Linked DNA regions of Notamacropus eugenii. The protein of the gene in region 1 interacts with the protein of each later gene in a pairwise test. Links are inferred from orthologs where the notes say so. Each region holds a gene or a part of one and is shown in the gene's direction. Other genes may lie near its edges. The genes, in order: EML1 and ISG20L2.

Region 1 (3,912 bases):
GCTGGACACGATAAGAATGGCCCCCGGGCCCGGACTGATGCTCTCCGGGATTTGGGTTTTTTAAACAAAGTATTTTTGTGGGAAGGGGAGGGCCGGCCCCGGGTGGCCCCTGGGCCCCGCCCCCTGCTGCCGGGGGGCCTCGCCCGCGGATGGGCACGTGCGTCCCTGACGGTCCCGGGGGCCCCCTCCCTCCGCTCGGGGGCCCCGCGCGAGCCCCTAGGCTCGGGCCCTTGGCGCCCAGGCCCAGCGCCTGCTCGTTCCTGCCCGTCCGCCCTTGGTCTGGCCGCCTTCTCTCAGGCAGCTCCTCCAATCCTCTTACAACTACTGAGGGTGTCTTCAGCCCCTTTCCTTTGTTCTCTCTACACGCGCACACACACACACACATTCCCCCAAAAAGGGGGGAAAAAAGCTCATTCCTGCTCCCAGCCGCCATTTCCATCCCTCGCCCGGGTCGGCCAGGCGGAGGCCGCTACTTCACGCGAGAGATTCCCCAGCGCGCGATCGGCCTGGGGCCGTTATACAGGGAGAGGGGAGGGGAGGCCCGCGCCTCGGCGCTGCTGGTTCTTAGGCCCCGTCGGTACCTGCCGCGCCCAAGGAGGGGGCGGCCAGGAGGTCATTCGGGCCCCCCCTTCCCTCTGGAGAAAGAGCGCCCCTCTCCCGCGCCGGCTCCTCGCCCCACACATGCCCGTTCCTTCTCGCCGCCTATTTCCCCCTCCCTCTCCCGGCCACCCCAAGTCCGCCCCCTCCCGGGCAGAGTCTGTCTTTCCCCAGCTCGGGCCGGCCTTGGTCGCCTTCCTCGTTCACGAGGCGGGCGGGCGGGCGAGCGGCCGCAGCTGCCCTGGGAGAGCGCGCGGCGGCGGCGGCGCCGGCGGGGTGAAGGAGGTTGCCATGGTAACCGGCAGCAGCAGCCGCCACAGCAGGGCCGGCCCCAGCCCCAGCCCTAGAGCTCAGTGTGTGGGTGAGAAGCGGCGAGAGCAGCAGCGGCGGCGGCGGCGGCCAAGGCTCGGCTTCGGAGCCGCCGCTGAGACCGGGTAAATCGGGAGCTGCCGCGGCTGCAGGATGGAGGACGGATTTTCTAGTTACAGCAGCCTTTATGACACTTCCTCGCTGCTCCAGTTCTGCAATGGTAAGGAGAGGGGACTCGTGTGTGTTTGTGTTTGTGGATACAAGCTCGCGCGGGGAGGGGGGGTCTCTCTTTGCTGCTCCCCCCGTTCCCCACCCTTCCACACCTCGCGAGCCTCTTTCCCCAGATCCCTCGCAGAGCTCGCGCCCCCTCCATTCATCCCTTCCTGCTGCGGTATCCCCCGGCGGGGCGCTAGCTGGGAGAGAACAGAGATCTCTCGGGGATTCTGGCTGCAAACCTGGTCTTGGAAGAAAAAAAAGAGGGAGGGAAGGCAAGCAGAAAGGAGCTTGGAAGCTGCTGCTGCGGCGGCGGCGGCGGCGGCGGCGGCCGTGGTGGTGGTGGTGGTGGCGGCGGCTGCCTCCCCTTGTTTCTGCTCCAAGACTAGCTCCTCTGCAAAGGGAAAAGAGGCATTGAAGGAGGTTAGTGGGGAAGGGAGGCATGCTTCTTGGATGACTCGGAGGAGTCAGTCCAGAGTGGCTCTCTTAGTCCAACCTGTCCCACCCAGGGAAAAAGCAGAAACTTCTTCCCCATTTCTCGGTTAAGTCCAAGGGAAAGTTTAGTTTACTTCCGTGGGAAAAGAAATGTTTGTTGCCAAAAGGAAAAGTTGCATTTGGCTCTGGGGTTTTCAGGAAAAATTCGGAATTTTCTGTTAACTCTTTGACTTTCCAGCATCCCAACAAGTGACCGCTGGTGAGTGTATTTGTGGTGTTGTGTCGAACTGCATGAAATGGAGCGAATGACATCCTCTCCAAGTCCCTCCATGGCCTGTTGAATAACCAACCACTCTATCCCCCTGACGTGTAAAAGCCACTGCCCACTCACTAAATCTTGTGCATTTGACACGTGTATAGTTTATCCAGTCTCATAAGGGGGGAAGATTCTTATCTGAAGTCTCTCACAGTTGTGTCATTAGTGCGTTTTTAGAAAAGCATAAATTGCTAGTGATTTCCAGTTTTGTTCTTTGAAATTTCTTCGATATTTATCCCAAGACTTTTTGGTACTGACACTTAAATAAAAATAAAAAATATAGAAACTCAACGTCCTGGCAGATTTCTTAGCAGTAATCTTTTCAGAGTGTAATTGACACAAAGGGAAAGCTAAAATAGTGCTTTGAAAATTAGGGGGGGAAATTAATAGAAGAGAAAGTTCAAGACACAATGTTACTGTTGTAACAAAATATGTTGCTTTTTGTGTATTTTATGTAGGTTCTCTTGGCAACTACTGTTGCAAAAGAGCAAAGAAACAAATCACTTAATATTAACAAAAGATGAATACAAGAATTAACTTGCTAACCAAACTTCAAACAAACCTACTTTAGTTACATTGTTCTTCATGAAATAACGCTTAAATAAGTCTAGAGTTTATATTAAAAACTTTTTTTAATGCGAGAGAAGTATTCAACTGATTTTTGTGCATTAGATTCTATTTGATTCTTAGGGGCAAGAAAAATAAAATTGTAGTTTATTGACAGGGTATGTTTTTAAAAAGTGATCCTAGACTCTTGAAACATAATTTAAGCATGAAAAATATGTTCATAATATCCTGCATTTTCTCTGAAACGTGATGTATGAAAAATTGTACACAAAGAAGTTTCATACATATTTTCTACATTTGATTTATTGCTTTAGAAATGTTTTCCAAAGTGTTTGTTTTTTTTTTGTTTTTGGTGAGTATGATCCTCTAAATTTTACTTGAATATGTAGAGCAATGAAAACAAGCCTAGATCCCAGCTTTCTTGGATTAATTTGTTTTATTTTTGTTTCAGTGAGAGAGAACTTTCTTGTTATAAAGTAATTTGTTTTCAATTTTGACCTGTATATAAACTCTATCATAATAATTTAATCTTTAGATACAGTAACAAGTATTTTTTTGTTTCTTCATGAATATATGTATACATATAATCATATAAGTATATACATAATATTTATCTAAAGTTCAGACTTCCATATCCTAGGGAGATTCATTATGATTTCTTTTTTTAAAAATAGTTAGCTAATGGGCAAACCAAGTGCTTCAGTGAGGTGTGAGAAAAATACTTTTGTAAAACTTAAGATGTATCATTAGAACTACTTCCAAAGTAGTAAAAGAATAAATTAAAGATTTCCAGCAAATCAAGTGGACTTTTAATAGAGTATTTATGTAAAGACATCTGCAGAAATTCCGCAAGATAAAAAAAGTGCAAAAATTGTGATTAGTAGTGAGAGAGTCCCCATACCAATGAGATCATAGAGTTCCATCTAAGGCTATATGCTGCATAATGTGCTAAGCTATTAGTACATCCTTTTCATATTAATAACATGCTACTTTCTATGTGATTTAAGGAGTTCCTATTTGCTATGTATGGAAGATAGGTTTTCATTTTGTTCTAACAGTGTTTATTCCAGTGCAGTAGATTTCTATGCGTTTTCAACCTTAAAAAATCTAAGCTTCTTGATGGAAGTTAATAATAGTTGACAGTATCTAACTTACTCTGATTCTTAGGATCATGGAGATAGAAGAGCTAGAAGGGACTTCAGAGGTCATTTGATAAAACCTCTTCATTTTGCAGAAGATGAAACTGAGTCCCAGAGAGGTTGTCATTTGTCCAGAATCACATAGGTAGGAAGTGTCATCTGGTATTGGAACACAGGTTCCCTTGATTAGCCTGATGGTGAAGTAGATACTCAAGTGCTAGGCCTAAAGTCAGGAAGACTCATCTTTCTGAGTTCAAATGTGACCTCAGACACTTACTAGCTGTGTCACCCTGAGCAAGTCACTTAATCCTATTTGCTTCAGTTTCCTCATTTGTT
Region 2 (3,912 bases), on another chromosome or scaffold:
AAGGCCTGACTGACATTGCTTTGTTAATTGTCCTGTCTTACTGAATTTATGATTTGTTCAATTAGGAGAGTTCCTTTCTCACAGCAAAATGTATATAAGCCAGAAGATTTCTGCACTGGGTAGCCAGAACATTTCTGGCTCCATAATGCATTATGTTACTGTTGTCTTTAATAGGAAATTGATCAATTAATTAATTAAATCATAGAACGTATGCATTTAGTTTGTTACCTTTTCTTAACAAAGTTTTCAGGTCAACACTATTTATCCTGGATATGGCTTGCTTTGTGTACATTTGTTTACATGTTGTCTCCCCCATTAGACTGTAGGTTCCTTGACGTCAAGAATTGTCTTTCTTGTATCCTCCCTCTCCCTTCCCCCAATTTAGCACAGTGATCGGCAGAGCAGGCACTTAATTTTAAGTTCCCAGAGGGAAGGGGCCGTCTTTTGCCCCTTTTTGTATTCCCAACACTTGGCACAATGACTGGCTCACAGTAGATGCTTCATGTTCATTGATTATTTATTTATCCTGTATATGGCCTGCTGTGTGTGTGTATATATGTGTATATATATATATATATATATATATATATATATATATATATATATATATATATACACACACACATACACACACGTTTGCATGTAGTCTGTCCTTACAGCTAAGTTCCTCGGGGACAAGGTCTATCTTTTGTTCCTTTCTGCATTCCCTGCGTTTGGCACAGTGACTGGCACATAGTGGGCATTTAGGAAATGTTCACAGACTGCCTGACTAAAAACAACCTAGAAAGCAGATGGGGAAGAAGAGGGGCGCTGGCTGCCCGCGACCACCTAGACAGTGAGGCGTACTCAAGTCACAGAGCGCAGACACGTGCTGAGAAAAGGGGGAGGAGATAGCGTGGGAACGTAGAGACGTCACAGAGCAGTAACGCCGGGTACGTCACGCGCTGGGCGGTGTGGGGCGGAGCCTTCGGGCCCCGGCAGGGATGAGGGCAAAGGAAAAGACTACCCTAACCAGCCCAGGCTCCGCCCTGCCCGCCCTCCTCCCGGAAGTGAGGCCCGACCCCACGGCGCCCCCCGGCCCCACTCCCCTCAGTCCCCGACCTTACCTTCCGAGTTGGACTTCCACGGGGCCCGAGGGGCCGGGGAGCGCGTGCCGCCCCCGCCCCCACCGACCCTATCCCCACCCTCCTTTCCGCTTCCGCTCCCTTTTCCCCAGTCGGAGTCGCTCTCCTCACTGCTCGGGGTGGGGGTCGCCGGGGTGCCCGAGGGGCCCCAGGCGCGTTCCCGTTACATACCTCCACGCGTTCCCCCGCGTGTTTGTCGCCCGCAGCCGCGCAGGCGCGGTCTCATCTCCACTTCCGCCTCCGGTCGCTTCCGGCCTCTACGGGGGCCGCCAGAGGAGGTGAGTGTAACGCGATGGGGTGTTCGCCCGGCGCCCGGCCGGGGGTTTCTCGGGCCGTGTTGGGACTAGATCGGGGTGGGGCCGTACCCCCTGGCCGGAAGGCTCTCGAGCCCCGGATTCCCACCGTCCCCTGGGGAGTGATGCCATCCTGCAGCAGCTTCTCCTGCCTCAGCCTCGATTTCCCCTCTTGTTCATTCATCCGCATCCCGGGTCAGACAGAGGCCTGCCTCTGCTGGCCAGGACAGTGTTCGTAATCACGGGATTGAAAGCCACAGGCGTCTTAGAGAGCATCTAGTGCAACCTTCCGAGTCTAGAAATGGGGAAACTGAGGCACAGAGAAGGGGAGGTGGACACCGGGCCCGAAGCTTCCGGGTACATTAGATGCTGAAAGGGGGGAGCAGGAAGAACCTGGAGGATTCGGGTAGGGGACTGACAAGGGGAGAGAGCAGATCCATTTTCTAGGGTTTAAGCTTGAAGGGGATAGGCCATGGACGCTTTGGTTGACTGACATTGCCCGTGGTAATAATAAAGGTAGCAAGTATTACAACTCACATTTTTCGGAAGGTGTCGGGACCTTGAACAGTGTGGGTTGTAACCGCTTTCTAATTGCAGGACGTTAGGCAGATCACTTCCATTCAGCCTGAGTGCTTCAGTTTCCCAAGGAAACTGACTTACCACGAACAGGATTGAAACCTACATGTTCTTTCTAAATCTTTTCATCTGTATCATGCTGCCTCTCAACATCTCATTCATCCTTTCTCTTTTGACTAAGTTCTTTTCCCCTACTCTCACTCCCTCCAAACACTCTGGCTTTTAAAGTGATTTCTCTAGTCCCTATCTTAAAACCTTTCAGGTTGGGTATTTTTCCAGATATCTAAGGTTATGCTGAAGCTTATAAAGAGTCCATCTATTGGACCCTCAGACTGGGGTCAGCTTGGTCACTCTTCTTTCCATAGGGTATGCTACACACCTCAAGATGTGAGTCTCTGGCCTTTGGCCAGGAATAAGTCCCCAAACTTCCCTGTTTTTAGAAGCCACTCTCTGAAGCGAGATCCCTCCTGGTCATTCTTCTCTCCAGCCCTTCTTGACAATGTCTACCCTGATTCTCAACTTGGACTTTGGGGACTGTCCTCCCCCAAAGAAGGCAACTGAAGGGAACCACAGGCACCAGCGTTTCATCCAACGACAACGGCGGATACAGAGGAACCTTAAGCAGAAACAGATGCAGGTCCCTGCCAGGCCTTCGGGCTCAGGGCATTCTAAACTTCAAAATAATGGGGGGACCCTTAGCACAAATAGTAAACAGAAACTCCACCCCCTCCCTGAACCTATAGAGGAGACACCGAATCAGAAAAATGGAATTGAAAAGCCCTTGAGTAGGAAGGTATCAACAGTGTCTTGGTTGACACCTGCTCCTTCACGGAAGACCAGTTCAGTATCTATATCATCTAAGGTAGATCTCCTGTCAGAATTCCAGAGTGGCCTCTCCCCCCTCCCCCCTGCCCGAACCCTCCCGCCTGCACCAGAGAAGGGCTGCAACAAGAAGATGGTGGCTCTTGATTGTGAGATGGTGGGCACAGGGCCTAAAGGCCATACCAGTTCTTTGGCCCGATGTAGCATTGTAAGTTACAGTGGTGACGTGCTATATGATGAATACATTCGTCCTCCCTGCAAAATTGTGGACTACCGGACCAAGTGGAGCGGTATCAAGAAGGAGCATATGGTTAATGCCACCCCTTTCAAGGCGGCCCGGAAAGAGGTGATGGGAGTGGGGAAAAGGGTGGGGGGTTAGGATGCTTGGGGTCTTTCTCTTAAAAGGAAACAATCAGGGAAAAGGCTTGACAGAGATTTGGAAGACTTCTAGATAGGAAGGGACTGGGCTTTGGTGAAAGGTGGTGGGGAGTGAGAGAGGAGGTAGTATCTTGGTTAGCACTATATACTGAGCACAGAGCCTTGTTCTGGAAATGGGTTCCTAAGACAGGGTAACCCTACTCACCCATTTCTCACCAAGATTTGGACAGAGACCGGAGCATAGGATCAAGTTGTATAGATATTATGGGGGAAGGAAAGATGTTAATTTGGGAAGGCCTCCTGGGCTAGGAGAAAAATGCAGAATAGGTTTGGAAAAGGGGACAAATGATGAAAGGAGTAATAATGCAGAGTTTAGGTGATGAAATGTTCCTACATGCTCTTTTGGCAGTCCTGTGACTACTCAGTCAGAATGCAGAATTGGGTGATGAGATGCTCCTGAGTGATCCTGTCTTAGTCCCATCACTGCACTCAGGCCTTGGATTGCTTTTCCCTATCACACAAAGGAGGGATCTAAGAGTACCTTTGGAGGAAGATGAATGTATGCATTTTCCAAGTGCTCAGTGGCTGGCATCACTTGGCTTGATGTCATACAGGAATGTCAGAACTGGATAGAAAACTTAGTAAGCATCTAGTCTAGCACCATTATTTTACAGATGAGGAAATGGAGGTTCAGAAAAAGTAAAGTCAGTTATTCATGA

What was found.
Region 2: the proteins of EML1 (region 1) and ISG20L2 interact in binary tests that used the Homo sapiens proteins (3 or more experiments, as listed by UniProt). The two-hybrid records come from large-scale screens. The link is inferred for Notamacropus eugenii from reciprocal best matches to the Homo sapiens genes EML1 and ISG20L2.

The regions. Positions count from the first base shown.
Region 1 is NC_092872.1:355,787,430-355,791,341, reverse strand, and holds the start of EML1 (echinoderm microtubule-associated protein-like 1), read left to right. Parts: upstream 1-946; 5' UTR 947-1,059; coding exon 1,060-1,126; intron 1,127-3,912. UniProt on the Homo sapiens protein: Modulates the assembly and organization of the microtubule cytoskeleton, and probably plays a role in regulating the orientation of the mitotic spindle and the orientation of the plane of cell division.
Region 2 is NC_092873.1:380,927,096-380,931,007, reverse strand, and holds the start of ISG20L2 (interferon-stimulated 20 kDa exonuclease-like 2), read left to right. Parts: upstream 1-1,277; 5' UTR 1,278-1,402; intron 1,403-2,358; exon of another isoform or gene 2,359-2,480; 5' UTR 2,481-2,492; coding exon 2,493-3,161; intron 3,162-3,912. UniProt on the Homo sapiens protein: 3'-> 5'-exoribonuclease involved in ribosome biogenesis in the processing of the 12S pre-rRNA. Displays a strong specificity for a 3'-end containing a free hydroxyl group.